Danio rerio: one gene and its partners. The protein of the gene in region 3 purifies or fractionates together with the protein of the main gene of each other region. This does not show direct contact. Links are inferred from orthologs where the notes say so. Each region holds a gene or a part of one and is shown on either strand. Other genes may lie near its edges.

Region 1 (6,143 bases), on a different chromosome or scaffold from region 3:
GGTAAGAGCTTCGTATGAATATGCCGAAGGTTCATTCTTCTCGCTTGCATGGCAAACTTCAATAATAAAAGTTGATGCATCTGCAATTCAGGGCTCTAAAAATGTTTTTAAATATGCAGTGAGATATGAAAGCTTCATTATCAGATTACATTTAAAGTAATCATCTGTCATCTTCCTCACCTCTCATCTTTGATTTTTTAAATCACTAATGTCAAAGTCAAGAAGATCAAAGCATACGGATTTCATAAAAAGCTTATTAAACGAACAACAGTGTATGTAGCTGGCATACCTGGATATTCAACATTTTAATTCAGCAAAACTTAATTTATGTAATATAAAATGTTTCAGAAATAATACAAGGAACATAAAAACAGGTACACACACACTCACACAGAGAGAGACACAATTAACAGAGTGTACAGTGATTTAAAAGATTATCGGGGAGATACTTTCTTTTTTTTTCTTTTTTTTTCTTTTTTTTGCAGTAGCCCGTTTAATACATATCTCAGATATTTTGCTTTTCAGCAGTTTCACAGAAGAAATAATGAAATGAAAATAAAAAAAAACGTTAACATAGGAGATGACTTAGCACATTTTTGTTTATGTATATGACATTTTGCCAATAGAGGTTATCAAAAAAAATCCAGATCTTTATTAGATTTGTTTTTGTAATATGAAAAAATATCAATGTTTTATTGTATCATAATTATCAAACATTGTCTAAAGGCATATTTTGCTAGGCACACCTATATTCAACATTCAAAAATTAAGTTACATTCAAACAGGTCTAAATGTGAGATGCTCTATCCGCTTTACAGAAGCAGCACATATCATCCATATCGATCTTATTCACATGGGTAAACTGTATGTAGGATTCTGAAGTAATTTTATTTGATTTTATTGTTGTTACAGTATTTAACAGAACTTTTTTTTCTTTTTTCTTTTTTTCTATTATATGCGTTAAACAACAAATATGTGACAGTATAGTAAAATAATGCCAGGGTGATAGAAAGTAAATAATAACAACAATACACACACAAAATAGACACTCTATCTTGTTCATTTTTTGAAATGACAACACCTAAATAGTTAACAGCTTCTTCAACTGGTATACCTTCTACAGATAATAGGGGAGAATTTTTATATTTCACAATTTATGAGGAGATTAGGTGCAAACATCAGGCATTAGAGAACAACTGAATAGATTTGATAACCTGATGAACCTGGTTTGAGTCTTTTACAAATAAGGCTGTATCGTCTGCTTACTGACTAATTAAAACATTTCGTCTAGCAATTTGGATTCTAGTGACAGAAGGCTTGGGCTACTATGAGAAACAGGTACACAGAGGCTGGACAGCCTTGCCGAATTCCTCTTTCTAATAGAAATCTCTGTGTAGTTCAATGTCCTCATTTCACTGAGCTATTTCCCCCGTCATACAGCGTACTCATCCCCTTACAAAAGAAGGGCCCAAAACCGAATTTCTCTAAACATGTATTTAACAGCACTTTTTATTTATTTATTAAAGAATGCTAATATTCAACCACAATCAGGAGACTGATATGAGAGAGATACAAAGGAGAGAAAAAAATACAAACTACCTAAGCTGAAGAAAGAAAAAAGAATAACAAAACAAAGTAAATTACAATTGTAAAAAAAGTGTATGAAAATAAATTAAGAGCATTAGGAAAGCTATCTAACTCAACGCAGAGTCAATAGACAACAGTTCTTCATATAGAACCAGTAATTTGACACATTTTTTGTTTTGACACATACGGAAAGATTTGAGCAGTGAGTTACCTTCAATCAGAAAATGTCCAAAAGTAGGGACTGAAGCCATGCACTTTTGCTTATGTTTAAAAAAATCTAAACAAGATAAAAAAGTTAAAGATAAATTCTTTAGATTTATGTGAAGATTCTGAGTGATAACAAATAATTTCTTTTAGGATTTAACAGAACTTTGTGCGTAGCTGAAGTGCGCCATGACGTAGCGCGGCTGCGCTGACGTCACCGTCTCTCTTCTCCGGTTATGCGCGCGCGAAAGTAGCGAAGTGAAATCTCACGAGCTCGCACTGATCAAAACCAACAGATACTCTCTCTAATCGAAAAACATCTGCAAAAACCATGGCGGACACAAAGGTAAGAGGGCCATCATCTTCAGCCTCTGTGTCTTTCGAACAGCGAGAGATGCTTATTTTGGTTGTTTTGTTGGCGATAAATGTTTTATGAGGGTCTTACTTAACAGACTGTAAAAAGCAGGTGTTTTCCCGGTTTTGCATTGTGCGCTTGGATATTCAGACGTTAGAACTTCTTGGTGTCATTTTAAATACTCACTATTGCTTTTTCATACGCTGTCAAAGTCGTTTGTTTATTTACAATCACGCTTTACATTCAGTAGCACCAGTAACGTTATTAAAATTCATTATTCTGTGTCGATTAGCACTCGCTACTTGCTTAAACACAAAGGACAAGCAAATATTGATTTTTAGGAACGTAATAAACATATTCCTCGCATGCTCCAAGTAAAAACGGCTCATACTTTAATTCGAAAGCTTGAAATGCTAACGCACTGTTAGCTTGTGTGTTAGCACTGCTAACCTGCGGCACGTGAAGTTCAAACCCGGTTTATCAACACTCTTCCGGGGTTAATTACGTGATTTAACTGTATTTGCTCAAGCAGTGCAAAATATGGGCTGCGAAACTACGAGTCGAGCACTTAAACGCCTTTAGGCCGCTTATTAGCAGCTTCTAGCTTGGATGCTAACTTAACTGACTGACCACTTTTGAAAACTCGTTTAACTCCCACATTAATTCATACACATCTGATATCCGGTCTTCAGTCAAGTCAGTCGTTTAGCTAAGTAAGCTGCTCAGCTCTGAAAATGCGAAGTGATCAACTTGGGAGCGGTTCAGAGCATCACATCATGTGCAGAAGATCTGCCAGAGTTGATCAGAAAGCTTTTCAATAATTAAAGCTTACAAGGCCTTCATGAATGTGAGACCAGTGATTAGTGAAGAGCAAGTGCATTGATTCCGCCAGCATCACAGCATGCGAGTTCAAGCACCAGTGGATGCAAGTTTGGTTGCAGCAGCAAATTTGGAGACAATAGGCCAAACTCCAGAGAATGATCCCTCCAAATCCCGCAGCCTTTCACTCCACTGATCTGATGAGTAATGTGGAAGCAGGATCCCCACAGAAGGGATCAGGACTTGTGAGCCTCAGCAGAACAAATACTGTAGTAAATGTGTGGCGTTCTCCAAAAATACCTGTTTTAGCTTATGTCATGTTTAAGTTTGATTTAATAAAAGCTGCTCTTTTAATTTTCCCCTCCAGGAGGCACAAGATGAGCATGAACCATCCACTGAGAACGTTGAGGAATCCAACCATGACCCTCATTTTGAGCCCATCGTCTCACTACCCGAGCAGGACGTTAAGACCTTAGAAGAGGATGAGGAGGAGCTTTTCAAGATGTAAGTCATTAACTGAGGTTTATATTAGGGCTGCACAGTAGATGATTTCAGCATTGATATCGCAATGTGAGTCCACAACAGTCTCATCACAGGGATCTGCAATGTAGTTGATCAGACAATACGGTTAACAACATAGTGGCGTTGTTTAAAAATTTTAACCTTCGAATGAAAATGTATTATTTGCATTTGTTTTTAAGACTTGACTGTAGGAATTTGAAGCAAATATAAGCCATTTTGGCACAATACATTAAACGTTTGTAGCTTAAAGACTGATTGGACATTATGTAGTTATTTACTCAATTAAAATGATAGTGTTGTTGTTATACAGTGATCATTTAATTTCGGCTTCTGAATACTGTTTGACTCCCCAGAAAATTATAAATCCTCGTTTGTTTGCATCTTTTCTCTGTTGTATTTAACTTTGCTTGTAATTTTTTTAAATTATATTTTATGCAGATATGCTCCCTTACAGAATCATCCCAGTCGATCTAAAATTGAGTTCTTTACAAGCTATTTGTCATCTGCTGAAATTTATTTAAATTATATAAATTTATATTCATTTATATCGCAGTGAATAAAAATATTTCAATGTCTATTTTTTTTATAGTATCGTGGAGCCCTAGTTTTTTAATATATTAAAAAATAAATAAATAAAAAATCCCATGTAACTGCATTCTAAGAGCACTTTATATCACACTAGCTGTTTCCATCCACTTATTTTTATGCGCATTATGGATATGCTCATAAAAAACTGGTTGATGGAAACGCCAAAATGTGTATAAAAACTTATGCGCATAACTGTAGGATAAACTTTTTATTCGATATAAAAAGATGCGCATAAACTGATGGAAACGCTTTTAACGAATATATTTCAGTATATGCATTAAAGTCATATGATTTTGTTATAAGAGATCATGTGATGATAAAAATATGTGAATGAATAAACCAGCTGGCTGAGCACCCTGTGAACATCTGACATGTTGTTTAGGTGATTCTAAAACGGCTTAACTATTTCAATATTATTGTTATTATATTATTAATAACCTCCAGAATCAAGAGCATCTGTGCTCCGCATCTTATGCCTTCTAATGTCACTACTCGTTCACTGCGTGTCAGGATTGCCTTCTGAGGCGCAAGTCATTTATTAAATGAAGAAAAGATTCACGCAGCTTCTTCTACCACAGCCAATTCAGTTTCTACTGTTGCCACCATATAATTAGTAAGTGACGATTTTGTTTGCTTTGACTTGTTGGATGGAAACTGTTTTATTCACACATCTTTTATGCAATATTCCAGTTTTGTGCATTATTAATTAGCATTCTTTATAAAAACATAGCTACTTATGCATGCACTAAAAAGTTTTTTTATTTGCTTTTTTTAAAAACTGTTTGATGACAGCTTAAAGTGTTGTCAATCACATATATTTATAGATTACTAAAAGGCTTTTATGCTTGTCATTCTGCGAAATTTTTTAATGACCACAGAGTCAGGACCTCAGTTTAATGTTGCATCCAATAGATGGCGAACTGACAGTATAGTGTCCTCTTCATTTTCACTGGGGGCATTAGGACTCACAATGACCACAGGTTGAGCGCCCCCTGCTGGCCTCAAGCACCACTTCCAACAGCAACCTAGTTTTCTCATGTGGTCTCCCATCCAGGTTCTGACCAGGCTCAGTCCTGCTTAGCTTCAGTGAGTAACCGGTCTTGGGCTGCAGGGTGATATGTCTGTGTAAACTAAAACTAAACATGCATTGAGCAAGAAGATTTTACCAATACATATTTTTGTTGGTTTACACTGGAACCATAATTGTACTGTTTTAAAAGCAGCTTTAAAATGCTGGTCTTCTGTAAAGCAAATGTTTTTTTTTTTTTTTGATTTACAGATACTATTGTATACATCAGTCTTGTCATTGATTAACATTAATATGTGATGGACTAACACATCTGATTTTCTAATTACGGTAAAGTGTAAGGATAAATTGTTCAAGTATACTTGCTATTATACTATTCTATTATTATTTTTTACATAATTTGTGTGTTTGGCGTGACTTGAGAGAACTTATTCTGCATCTTTTTTTTTTCTGTGTGTTGTCTTGTGCTTCAATGGTTTAAACTTATATTGTCTTGAAATTACAGTTGACACTTTTGTAAAAGTGTATTTAGTGCTTGCCAAGAGCCATCAGGCACTTATTGTTATATATACAAACTATACATTGAAACTAGGTCATTTATAGAAAATATTAGTTATTATATCGTGAATATTAGTTACTCACACAATCTACATTGTAAAAGTGCTATAGAATTAAAGAATTAAATACGTCTTTGACCATTGATGCATTTTTGTGTGTAGGAGGGCAAAGTTGTATCGTTTTGCCAGTGAGAACGACCCTCCTGAGTGGAAGGAGCGCGGGACAGGTGATGTCAAACTTCTGCGACACAAAGAAAAGGGCTCCATCCGCCTTCTCATGAGGAGAGATCGTACCCTCAAAATCTGTGCCAACCACCACAGTAAGTGGAGCGAGTGATCTCTTGAATTCTTTATTTTTTTTCAGTGTGCATATGGCTTTAATTGATCTGTTAACCCTTTGCTCTAGTTATGCCGCTGATGGAGCTGAAGCCCAATGCAGGCAGTGACAGGGCCTGGGTGTGGAATACACATGCCGACTTTGCAG
Region 2 (6,373 bases), on a different chromosome or scaffold from region 3:
GATGTCATTATAATGCATGTAAATGGACTAGTAGGACCGGTGGGAACGGGCTCAATCCAGCCCAATCCAAACAGAGCAGCCCATTTCATTCACATGTATGTGCCACAGTGCACGTGTAGCCCTCCTAAGCTCACTTCGGCAGGACGACCTCTTTCACTCGCCCCCTGACCCTGTTAACTTTCAGACCCTCTGTAATGAGCTGATTAATGGCACACTTTAATATAGGAAGCATACAAGGTTTTCACATCAGCCACAGTTATACTTTTGATGCTTTGTACATATGCATGATCAGGAACCCACAATAAACAAAACCAGACTTCCAGAGAAGTTTCAATGCTTTATTGTATTTCTCAAAATAATTCAAAACAGCTGAGACAACAAAGAAATGAAGCATGGTGAGTTTTCTTTTACACAAAGTGAAGTCATAGCCTGAGAAACACAAGAGATTTCTTATCATTTCTAAAATAAGAGCACATTCACCATGTGTGAACGTTAAAAGAGTTAGTGTTTAATTTTGGAGTTTTAAAGAAATAGTTCACCCTAAAATTTAAAAACAATTCTCTCATAATTACCCTCAACACAAAAGAAGACATTTTGAAGAATGTCGAAAACCCAGCAGCCGTTGACCACCAAAGTATTCCAACATTTTTTAAACGAGGAATTTCTTCTTCAATTTTCAGGTGAACTGTCACTTTAATTCAAACTAAATACAAGACACACAACTGAACACAACATATTACTCTGTGTTATCCAAACACACCCATTCTCTATCTATTAATTACTTCAGGAAACCTGCTGTAAAGAAAGAAACTGGAACAGGGGTTACAAAGTAGTTGACTCTGATTCCTGGAAAACATGAGTAACTATATCATAGAAACTTCTAGACACTGAGACACGATTCACAAACAAACATTCATTCAAGCCACATCATACTGATCTCTTCTTCCAAAGTTTACATCGGCATGTGACCTGCATATAATAAAACACAACAAAAGGTAATGAATATAGATCTGATTCACACAACAGCTGATTATCAAATCACACCTGGAGCAATTTAAATGCACAAAACAGCAATGCTGAATTAAACACCAGCTAACACTGGAATAAATGCTGGCCTCTACTAAAAGGGAGATCAGTTGTTGGGCATATCATTTACAAAATTACTATTCCTAAAGTGCAGTAACACTGCTTGTTTAGTTAGCCATTTCAGAAGGTGTGTAATACTGACCACATGCTGGACTAAACGGAAAGACTTCGACACTGTGACCTTGTGGAACGAAGTTTTATTTAAGCCTAAATGACAGCTCGACTAGAGGACAATGTATTCTTGTTCTCATTCTTTGTTCAGTTCAGGCACTACATTAGTTTGCGCACACAAAATCCAGTATTTTTCCATCAACTGACGTTTAAGTGGCGTTGCGTCACGTGACTAGCGAAGAGGGGGTGAACATGCGAGCGTTTGACGTCTGTATGAAACAGCACGCCGATTGTTTATAATGATGTTTTTGAGCGATTCGATGCGTTTATCATCCATCACAACCATACCGGAGTCAATTTCGCGGTAGTTAAGTTTATGGAGACCATCACAAGCCAATTGTATCAAGCTCTGACCCATGCCATGCGTCTCATACCCTGACTCTGAACAACCACTCCCCTTCGTGGCTCGTGGAAAATTACCAGCTTACAATCAGCACAAGTACAAGCTCCAACATCCGCCTCACGGACTCGATGCCCTCGATCTCCTTCAGTCCACCCTGAAATTCATTTTCCCGAGCATGTATGCAATTATCAGACGCGCACTGCTGGGGAATATCAAATTAAAGCTCGCGGCGGATATAAACGCGAATGTTTATCGACGGAGTCGTGCAAAACACGTTACTATTAACGCTAAAACTAGCTTTTCCTTACAATAGTAACAAAACACACGAGAGCAATAATATCAGGAATTACAGGTCCATTCTGCACGCAGTTTGCCTTCTTTTTCTCCAAACGGGCGGAGCGGTCGCGTGGGCGCTAGAAAGAGTATAGATTGATTGACGTGCTCGCCGTCCAATGGTGTGTGAGCGAGGACGTGCTTAGCAACGCAACGGCCATTAGCAGGCCGCCATGGGCGTGACGTTAATCCAAACTTTTCGCGGCGCCATCGGCTGAAAACTAAACCGAGATGGAATCTCCCAGTCTGAACCGGTTTCAACCGGTTACGAGTTTGTTGCTTGTGAGAAGAAGAGGCGCACAGGCTCAGACTCTAATACCGCCCTGGTGCAAAATATACTTAAGTATAGAGCACATTTCTGAAATAAGGTTAACTTTGTTTCGTAAAATGAACCGGAGTAAGAAAATACTGAACTCGCCGTGATTGATGGTGCGGAATTCACATCCTAGTGGTCCTTAAATCAAGCTACTAGCTCGTGTAGTCTTCACAGAGGAATAGTGTGGCTGACCAGCCAACGGCTCATCCTAAAGCTTTTTTTCCAGAAAGCGTGTACAAACAGGCACCAGCGATACTGGATCAAATAAACATTATTTTAGCAACTCTGGCAGACAAGCCCACCTTCTTTCTCTCAAAGGCTTGGACTTTAGGTAGGTAAATTTGGGGTGCAAACTTCTAGTTAGAGTGCTTGGGTTGGTTTGGAGAATGATGATGCTGTGAGATTGTGTTGAAATGAATAGAAATTGCACGTATGGAGGTTGAAGTCGAAAGAAAGTGAGCTGGTTGTGCTGCTGAGTGTTTGTTGGATGTTGCGGGTGTGTGGCGTGATGGCTCCTGGTGTCACGCTGGACTAAATGGTAACGTTATATTTGGGGTTTGTTCGTTTGAAAAATAGTTTTAATCTCACGTAACATCATAACAATAACAACTGCATCGCTTCCGATCACGAGCTAACGTTAGACTTCAGCAGCACGCTTGTTTGGGTTTAGCGAGCGTCATTCAACTGTAAACCGCATTCCGGACTGTTCCAGAGCCAAAGCATTAGTTATTTAAACGCGTATAACGCACCCACAGTGTGTTACTTACCTGGTTTACTGCTGGTGAAGCCTGCAGAGCTTTCAGGTGTAGGGTGCAGAGCATGCTGTTGGTGGGAGGGGTTGCTCCAGAGTCAGCGAGGGAGATCCTTGCAAAGTCACCCCCGTAGAAGTCATCCAAAAACGGGTGTAGTCCGTCAGAAACGTCAGTGTTTTCTCACGGAAGAGGTGTTTGCTTGGACGTTTTAACGTCAGTCGCGCGCTAAAGCGTCCATTCAAGCGCTTTTGTACGATTGTATGCATACGCAGTTGCTGTCATGTACAGCGACGCATTATTAGGGGTTCTAGTCTATATCAACACAACTAGAACATCATAAGCGGCATTATCTTAGTCCAACCCAGTTGTGTTTTGAAAACGTGTGCATGCTTAGTAGCTCTATGTTGGGTTACAGATCCTATTGTGGTCACAGCTTACTGAATGAAATAAGGTGATGTGTGGAAAAGGAGGGTAAATCAACAGGTTGCGCAGTACTGACGATTAGTTATGGCACACCACATCACTTTGTTTATGCCTGCGAGACCCGTGGTCTCATAAAGCTTGACTGTCGTGTCTAAATAAATTCTTGAAATTTCCTCCGATGCCAAACTTCTTTTGGTTCTTGGCCGTAATGCTTACCTCGTTACGCAACAGTTTGGCTTCGGGGTACAAATTGAATTAGCTTGAGCAATGGCCATTCAAGTGTCCTTCAGTCTACTACGAGTCAGCATTAGGTCTTGTGGTTGTGGTCTTATGAAAGTAGAAAGAAAGTGTGTACTAACGCAGAGCGCTCGGTAACGCTACGCCTCTGTTATATGTAAACAATGTCGTCAGCGAAAGGGCTGCCTAGCACGTGGTCTCATTCAGAGAATAATGGCTGGTGTGATGATCATGAGCCCAGTGAGTGTCTCTTGTTTCTCCACACATCAGGATATCCAAGCTGCAAACATGTTACCTTTATCACGCCACCAACCTATCCTATTGTTATTAAGGATTAAACCCTCCATTAGGCACTACTGTGTTGACAGGCTAGAACATATAAGGCTTTTTGGGTGATCCCGAGTTTGGTTGAGGGAGGGGCGTAATGGTCAGCTGTTTGGATTTTTGTACCCATATGTTCATTTGACATGACTTTGCCCCTGCTAGATGTTTCCTCCCTGTCCCCTACAGAGCTCTATGCCAGCAATTATGACAATGTTAGCCGACCACGCAGCCAGACAGCTGCTGGACTTTAACCAGAAATTGGATATCAACCTGCTGGATAATGTGGTCAACTGCCTGTACCATGGAGTTGGGCCACAGGTAAGTAAGATCATTTTACAAATTGGTAAATACAGCACCAGATGTATGTGTTGAAGATATAACATAACATTAGCTGATAATTATCCAGTGCACATCAAATAATAAAATAGTCAATACAAATAACAATAAATGGATTGAAAGGGAAAGTATTATTCTAAGAGTCCTGAAATAAGCATTAATTTGGTGATCATTTGACAAAAGACTGGATAAATATAACCCTGTCTGCACTTTACCAGCAGTGTATTTTAAAATAAAACATCATGTAACTCGTTAATGGAACCAAGCTACTTTGAGGTAATTTACAATATTACTAGCGAAGATGATTATGAAAACTTGATGAAAACAAAGGTACAAAACTGTGTACTTGATAAGTTTAACAAGAAAATAACTACAATTATATGATCCAAATGCATTTAAAAATATATAAAGCAATTCATTTAAATTTTGTGTTGATGTTGAATGATGTATTTCGATTGATATATTGATTGATAGATTCCTAGACACCTATTCAATGTAGTTGGGTGAGATCATCTAGGTCAGGAACGCCCTAACCTTTTCTAATGAAGGGCCAAACATAACTATGGGCCAACTTAATTATGGATTTTGGACCTAAGATTAATAAAATGTATTACAAAATGGCAGTGGATAATTTCCTGATTTATTTAAAAAAATAAATATTTATTAATATATCTTGAATTTAATCATATGAACTTATGCATGATTTTTCAAAACATTTTAAGATAAACAAATTACAATGAAAGCATAATTCCATTTATAACACAAAGGAGCTCAATCGAAAAGTAATCGAAATCGACATTTAGAACCTGTAATTGATCAAATTTTTCCAAGTAAATTTTTTCAATTACTTTCCCTACCATGTGTTGAGTTACGTGACCCCGCTTGTTCAAGGCCAATTTATCCTATTATATTCCATTTTATACTTCTGCCAAGGGCACATACAGTCCAGCAAAGCGTTCACATACCTGCACACTTCTCAAAAAAATGTAATTGCGCGTCACAACGACACGTTGCACAAGCTTTGTGATTGGTCAGTTTGGTAGAGGTGACGTGGGTGCGCGGCGTGGAGAGCCGCGTTTTAGGCACTGTTTGTCTTTATCTCAGTTGTTCAATATTGATGTTCAATAAATAATCATAGACAGTAGATAGTGTGTGTTTCCTTTAATTTTAATCAAGTAATGCACAATCAAAAATCTCTCACTTGTAATATGTGAGCACATTTACTGTACAAAACTTGTCAGTGAACTATGAGGGCAAAAACATAAAACAAATAAATTAAACAATCTTTCATTAATCGTAATCGAGTTAAAATGTTTAATTAATCGAGATTTAGGTTTTAGGACAAATCGTTCAGGCCTAGTTCATGCAGAAAACGGTAGTAAATCTGCACCTGCCTTTGCATTGATTTGCTCACTGATGTATTCTGCATTGTTCTCTATCTGTTGAGTGACAGTATGTTTTATATATATATATATATATATATATATATATATATATATATATATATATATATATATATATATATATATATATATATATATATATAACAGATTCATTTACAACATTAAATTTGAGTTTACTTTTGTGTAGCTTAACAATACAACAAACAAATGAAAAATTTTGTTTAATTGGATTAAATTGAATTAATTTATTTTTATTAGTTATTTAAAATCCTTAGGGTTTGCAGAAATTATGTATTTTTACATGAGGAACCTTACTGTGACATTCTGTTACCACTGAAAATATTCTTCTTTCGTTTAAATTCAAAATGCATCTTAGAAATAAATTGTACTCAAAAATAATATAAAAAGTTGGCAGCTTTTTACAATTGTACAAATATATATATGTCACTTTTTAAATGGCAGTGTTTGTTTATTTACTATATACATTAGTGAATGCACTGACATCATTAACACTCAGCCAGTATATTGTTGCACCATAGTGTTATACAAGTTAAGATGAATGTTTTTTTGTTTCAGCAAAGAATGGCCCAGGAGGTGCTGACTCATTTGAAGGAGCACCCAGATGCGTGGACACGAGTCGACACCATTC
Region 3 (6,468 bases):
GGTATTATGAGGTTTCATAGTTTATTTATTTATTTATTTATTTTTATCACATACTACTGAGATTTAAAATAGTGCCACAGTTCTTTTATTGAGGTAAAGTTGGTTTTATATGCACACATTCAGGCTTCTCTTTAATAATATAATTTCAGCAAAGTGTAGTCATTGGAAATTCTAAACAGTGAACTCATATCAGCAGCCAATAACTATCAAAGTACAGCATTGTTCACAGTCAATTAAATGGTGCTAATGTTGTTTTGAAGTCATACTTGCATATCATTTTAGTCTGAATGCAGGGTAAACAATATAGGGAGTTGTCACTGAATAAATGTGCAAATATAAACCCAACTTGACCTCAATAGTTCATTTGGGGTTAATAAAAAAGTTGATCAAGGACAGATTACTTTGTATGTAATAGTTTTTCCAAATTGTAAGGATTCACTGTACATGCAATTATGGAAATATCACAATTGTAGAATTGAATTTTTTAAATGAACATATAAATGACTTATGGGGAAAAAACATAGAAATCCAGATAAGTTTTAATGGTACAGTTTAATGGTTTGTACTATATTTCTTTGTTGTTTTTGTTGTTGTTCAGATCTTTTTTATTAACATTTTGATCAATAAAACAACAATTTTAAAATTTTTTGAAAAACCGATGAGACGATTTATCTTTTTCTCCAACAGAGCCCACTGCACCATTTCTATACACTGTATTATGCATATTTTTTATCTGCTTTACATCATGTCATGATGTACCGTATACATAAATACAAGTATGGGTTAGTAGGTTAGGGTAATTAGGCAAGTAATTTTATAACTGTGGTTTGTTCTGTAGACTATCGAAAACAATATAAAGTTTAAAGGGGCTAATGATTTTGACCATAAAAGGTTTTTTTCTAAAAATTTAAAATGCTTTTTTTCTAATAAAACAAAAGACTTTTTCCAGAAGACAAAATAGTATTAGATATACTGTGCAAATTTCTTGCTGTGAAAATTTCTTGATCATTTGGAAAATAAATAAATAAATAAAATTTAAAAAAAGGTGTAAAGAGGGCTAATAATTCTGACTTCAATTGTAAAACCACACACAAGTCACACTAGGCTTAGTAAATATATTAAAAAAAGAAAATAATAAAGATATAATTTAAAATGGAGGGAAGAAAAAGTTAGAAACAAATGAACAACTTTTGGATCAATTTGCTCTATATATGTATTAAAAAATAAGATTACATTTTTGACTGCAACCTTTGGTAGAGCACCAAATCTTTTCCATTGGAAGATACTAAGATGCCGAATCCAATGATTGCAAGGGTCAATTGATACATGCAAAATATTTGAAACTATTTGTACTATAATTTGATTGTATTCCATTACCTATTGTATACCCTGGTGAAAAATCCAGCTTAAACCAGCCTAGGCTGGTTGGCTGGTTGACCAGCCTGGTTTTAGAGGGGTTTTGGCCATTTCAAGGTTTTCAGCTATTTCCAGCCTGGTCTTAGTTGGTCAGGCTGGAAAATGACCAGCCAAATCCATCTAAAACCAGCTTGACTAGCCTGGTTTAAGCTGGATATAGCTGGTTTTGGCTGGACTCCCAGCTTGGCTAGGCTGGTCAAGCTGGTTTTAGCTGGTCATCTCTCAGCCTGACCAGCTAAGATCAGGCTGGAAATGACTGGAAACCAGCCTGGAAGTGGCCAAAACCCCTCTAAAACCAGCCTGGTCGACCAGCTAAAACCAGCTAGATTTTTCAGCAGGGTATAGAGGCTGTTATAGTTTCCATTATAATTATTTATCATTATAACCAATAAAACTGCTACAAATTTATGGGTTTCTATGTTTTTTTTATTTATTTATAATTTTTTTTTATTATTAAAGGATGTTAAAGCTCTTTGTAAAAGAGCAGTTTACACCATCCCAGCTGGGAATTAAAGGTCTAAATACTTTTTAACCACATTTGTTCTGCATTTCATGTGTCTGCAACTTCCAAGAAAGAAAAAAAAAAGATGATTAGCAACAAATGTACAAGGATGAGGTTTCACAGTTTCGTTTTAAGGAAATGTCAGAAATGGGTAATAATCCTCATTTCAATCATGACAGAATCTACTTATTTTTCATTTGTGTCTTGTACACTTAAAAAAATACTTTTGCTGTTTGTTCTAACCACAAAAATGAGTTGAAACAAGACACAATAAGGTACAACTTAACTGTTTTAAGTTCAAACTACTTGTATAAAAAAAAGATTAAGCGAACCTAATAAATTTGTGTTGGGACAACATGGAGTGGTGGAACCCAGCATTTATTACAGTGTATAAAATATAGAAAAAAGGCAGCCATCAAATAAAACTAAATTATTTTTGTATAGATAACATCACGCGTAATTTAAAAAAAAAGGTTTTTCTTTGATTCAGCTTTTTCTTTTATTTATTTATTTATTCATTTATTTATTTATTTATTTTTTAAGTTTTTGTCTGAGATTGCCAGGTATGTATCTGAGGAGGGGTTTTTTTTCGTGACAACAAGCTTCTATAGTGCAACAGAATTACATAAACAGGACAAAAAAACTGATAAAAATCTAGTTTAAAAATAGAGGTAGTTAATGCAAATGTACAAAGTGACACGTGTTTGTATTATATGTGCAAACTGGCGTGTAAAGTACGTTGTTAAATAAGTTTGTGTGTAAAAAGAAGTGAAGTTTCTTTCACAATTACTGTCATAAGGTGTTGATGGGATGGATTGCCAGAGGGAACTGTTTCTGTGTCGGGCTGTTAAGAAAAACTAATAGTTGAAGAACATCATTAAAAACTTTTAAACGGATAAAACAACGTTTAACTATAAACACGTGCATTAAATTTGGTATTCTAACGTAAAATGACGATTAGCATGATAAAGCTAATTCTTATTTTACAGACGTTTCTACCCGCCTTCCCAATAGTTGGCGCTTCTGAGTCTGTTTATTAGCGCGAATCCACCGGGTCACACGAAGTAGTGCAAGAGTGAGACACGCGTGCGTTACATTCACTCAATGAGTTATTGATGTTCACAAACCTCCTCGAGCGAACACAAACTTTGAACCTGGGAGATTTTCATACACAAGTGTAGCTCATCATCTCAGCTGCCTGTTGACGGTAAGATTAAAAATATTAGTCTTCAGAAAGCATGAGAAATGTAGTGTATGTAGAGCTTGTGAAATGTGTTGCGGAACAAGCCTGAGCCTGTTTGACCCATTCATTGCTATTAACCTCATTTAAAGTGTCTCAACATGATTTTTGTGATGACTTTTCATCAAACTAACTTAAAGGTCACGAGAATAAAACATGGCTTCAAAATGCTATTAGAGACTGCGTTTGTTTTAAATTTTAGCGGGATGTTCCTTTAAGACGTTGAACTTGAACTCAGATCTTATTCCGCCATGTTTAAATTAGTTTCCTGCATTAAAGCTAAAACAATAACAGCCTCGTCTGTTTTCCCCCTCTAATGCCGTGTTAGCCGATTAACCGCCATCAAACATTTGCTGCTGTCAGTCACAAACCGTGAAGTCACAGCCAGAAAAAGAGGCTGTGTGTCAAAAACTCGTCAGTTGCCTGCAATGACCACATTTATAACTGTTATGATGCCAAAAAAAGATGTGTGCCTGTATAAGACCATACACGTTCACGTGCATTAATGCTATACATAGTCAATATACAGCAAAGTGGCTCTAAATGTAATGTAATGATTTATATGTTGTTTACTTAATATGAGATCTATTTTAAAATTATATTAAACAACAAAAACAAAATAAATTGAATTTACTTTTAAGACCTATTCTAGTCTATCATGTTTTTTTTTTTGTAGGCCTGAAGTTCAGTCTTGATTGCTAGATTGGTTAAATAACTTGTCTAAGAAACTATTTTTTTTTCTCTGATGCTTGTTTGTTAACCTGTCTTTATTCATAGTTTCAGGTTTTGTCAAGCATCTGGGCTTACCATGTCTGCAAAAAAAGCTGTGAAGAGACAAACAGCGGCACCAAGCGATTCAACAGTTGCGAAAAAGCTAAAAGGTCATTATTTCATAAAGACTTTTTAATGTTTCTTTAAAGCATAAGAATATTCATATAGCTATTAGGTGTAAATTTGTTGTCAGAAGGAAACAAACTATGATATGTACCTCAAATTTGAAGTTACTGTTGTGTACTCTGTTTTGTGAATATCAATATAGAGGCCTAGATATACACTCACCAGCCACTTTATTAGGTCCAACTGCTCATGAACGCAAATGTCTAATCAGCCAATCACATGGCAGCAACTCTATGCATGCCATGGCGATCTGCTGCAGTTCAAATAGAGCATCAGAATGAAGATGAAAGATGATTTGAGTGACTTTGAGCATGGCATGGTTGTTGGTGCCAGACAGGCTGGTCTGAGGCAAATGGGCAACAGCAGCAGAAGACCACACCGGGTGCCACACCTCTCAGCTAAGAACAGGAAACTGAGGCTACAGTTCACATAGGCTCACCAAAATAAACAATAGAAGATTGGAAAAATGTTTCCTGGTCTGACATTCTTATGCTAGGGTCAAAACTTGCCATCAACAACATGAAAGCATGGATCCATCCTGCCTTGTATCAATGGTTCAGGCTGATGGTGTAATTGTGTGGGGGATATTATCTTGGCACACTTTGGGCCCATTAGTATCTATTGAGCATCAAGTCAAAGCCAAAGCCTATCTGAGCATCGTGTCTGACCATGTCCATCTCTTTATGACCACAGTGTACCCATCTTCTGTTGGCTACTTCCAGCATGATAACGCACTGTCATAAAGCAAATCATCTCAAACTGGTTTCTTGAACATGACCATCAGTTCACTGTTCTTAAATGGCCTCCGCAGTCACCAGTTCTCAATCCAATAGAGCAGGGGTCACCAATCTCGTTCCTGGAAGTCCGGTGCCCTGCAGAGTTTAGCTCCAACTTGCCTAAACACACCTGCTTGGGTGTTTCAAGTATACCCAAGACCTTGATTAGCTTGTTCGGGTGTGTTTGATTAGGGTTAGAGCTAAAATCTGCAGGACACCGAACCTCCAGGTACAAGTTTGGTGATCCCTGCAATAGAGCGTCTTTGAGATGTGGTGAACGGGAGATTTGCATCATGGAAGTGTAGATGACAAATCTGCAGCAACTGTGATGCTATCATGTCAATATGGACCAAAATCTTTGAGGAATATTTCCAGTACCTTGTTGAATCTATGCTGCGAAGGATTAAGGCTGTTCTGAAGGCAAAAGGGTCGAACCCGGTACTAGTATGGTGTACCTATAAAAGTGGCCAGTGAATGTATATTGATTTGCTTAACAAATTCTAGTTATGGGTTTAGATTAATGGATTTATTTTATCTCTGGAGCCACTCATTTTGTGCCACATGCCTCTGAATGTTTCTATTTTTGTTGATTTGTAGTCTCTCATATCAGTCATGGCCAGGAGAAGGGCCTGGTGCTTGTTCTGGGTCAGGGTGATGTTGGTCAGCTTGGCCTGGGAGAGGATGTGATGGAGAGGAAGAAACCAGCTCTAGTGACTCTTCCTGAGGGTATTGTGCAGGCAGTAGCTGGAGGAATGCACACAGTCTGCCTCAGTGACACGGGAAACGTAAGCTCTACACAAATAACATTAATCATAACAGGCTTGAATAGTCATGTTAGTGGGGATTTGAGGTCAGGACTAAAGTTTTTTTTGTTGTTTTTAATGTCGACTTGTAGGTTTATACATTTGGCTGTAATGATGAGGGTGCGCTGGGCCGGGACACATCTGAGGAGGGTTCAGAGACGGTGCCAGCAAAGGTGGATCTTGGAGAGAAGATCATTCAGGTCTCTGCAGGGGACAGTCACTCTGCAGCCCTCACAGAGGACGGAGGCGTCTATGTCTGGGGCTCTTTTAGAGTGAGTATTGCCTTTTTGTGTGCTGCCTTATAGGTCTGGGTATTATGGCCTGAATTATCATAACATTTTTCATATCAGTTGATATCTGGAATTATCTCGATAAATCGCCACTTTAGAATTATAAGGTTCTATCTGACATTTTTGCCAAAATTGAGTAGACATATTCTTGTTAAATGACAACTTATTGACATTGAGATACTTTTTATAAGGTGTTTACATTTTAAGACTTTTTATTAAAAAAAAAAAAGTTACACGCATACTGTCTGCTATGAAATGCAAAAACCTTGAAGCTTGATATCTCAAAATCAACCTGCACCCAGATAGAACCTTATAATTCCAAGGTGATGAAATGTCAAATCTGTTTTAAGTGCAAGACAGATGTTTCCACGTAAGTGAAAGTTGTAGGAACCATAGTTTATTGTTGTTGAAACATGACAAATGTCAAACAGATGTACATTTAAAAATCCTGACATGCAGTATCTGATAAATATTTATAAAACTTATTAGATGCACCTTTATCTTTTGTTTTATATGTAAAATATATTAAAGGAATGCTTAACTT

Evidence for each region. The genes of interacting proteins can lie anywhere in the genome.
Region 1: the proteins of rcc1 (region 3) and ranbp1 purify together in Homo sapiens (affinity purification with mass spectrometry; 3 studies listed by BioGRID and IntAct, counting the BioPlex papers as one, with this or other methods). This does not show direct contact. The link is inferred for Danio rerio from reciprocal best matches to the Homo sapiens genes RCC1 and RANBP1.
Region 2: the proteins of rcc1 (region 3) and xpo1b purify together in Homo sapiens (affinity purification with mass spectrometry; 3 studies listed by BioGRID and IntAct, with this or other methods). This does not show direct contact. The link is inferred for Danio rerio from reciprocal best matches to the Homo sapiens genes RCC1 and XPO1.

Annotation. Positions count from the first base shown.
Region 1 is NC_133180.1:19,736,949-19,743,091, reverse strand, and holds the start of ranbp1 (ran-specific GTPase-activating protein), read left to right. Parts: upstream 1-1,966; 5' UTR 1,967-2,122; coding exon 2,123-2,137; intron 2,138-3,332; coding exon 3,333-3,469; intron 3,470-5,821; coding exon 5,822-5,979; intron 5,980-6,065; coding exon 6,066-6,143. UniProt on the Homo sapiens protein: Plays a role in RAN-dependent nucleocytoplasmic transport. Alleviates the TNPO1-dependent inhibition of RAN GTPase activity and mediates the dissociation of RAN from proteins involved in transport into the nucleus.
Region 2 is NC_133192.1:25,314,301-25,320,673, forward strand, and holds the start of xpo1b (exportin-1), read left to right. Parts: upstream 1-2,196; 5' UTR 2,197-2,784; coding exon of another isoform or gene 2,785-2,787; 5' UTR 2,788-3,874; coding exon 3,875-3,901; intron 3,902-4,171; coding exon 4,172-4,303; intron 4,304-6,300; coding exon 6,301-6,373. UniProt on the Homo sapiens protein: Mediates the nuclear export of cellular proteins (cargos) bearing a leucine-rich nuclear export signal (NES) and of RNAs.
Region 3 is NC_133191.1:37,421,592-37,428,059, reverse strand, and holds the start of rcc1 (regulator of chromosome condensation), read left to right. Parts: upstream 1-3,038; 5' UTR 3,039-3,125; intron 3,126-3,935; 5' UTR 3,936-3,966; coding exon 3,967-4,039; intron 4,040-5,428; coding exon 5,429-5,616; intron 5,617-5,726; coding exon 5,727-5,906; intron 5,907-6,468. UniProt on the Homo sapiens protein: Guanine-nucleotide releasing factor that promotes the exchange of Ran-bound GDP by GTP, and thereby plays an important role in RAN-mediated functions in nuclear import and mitosis.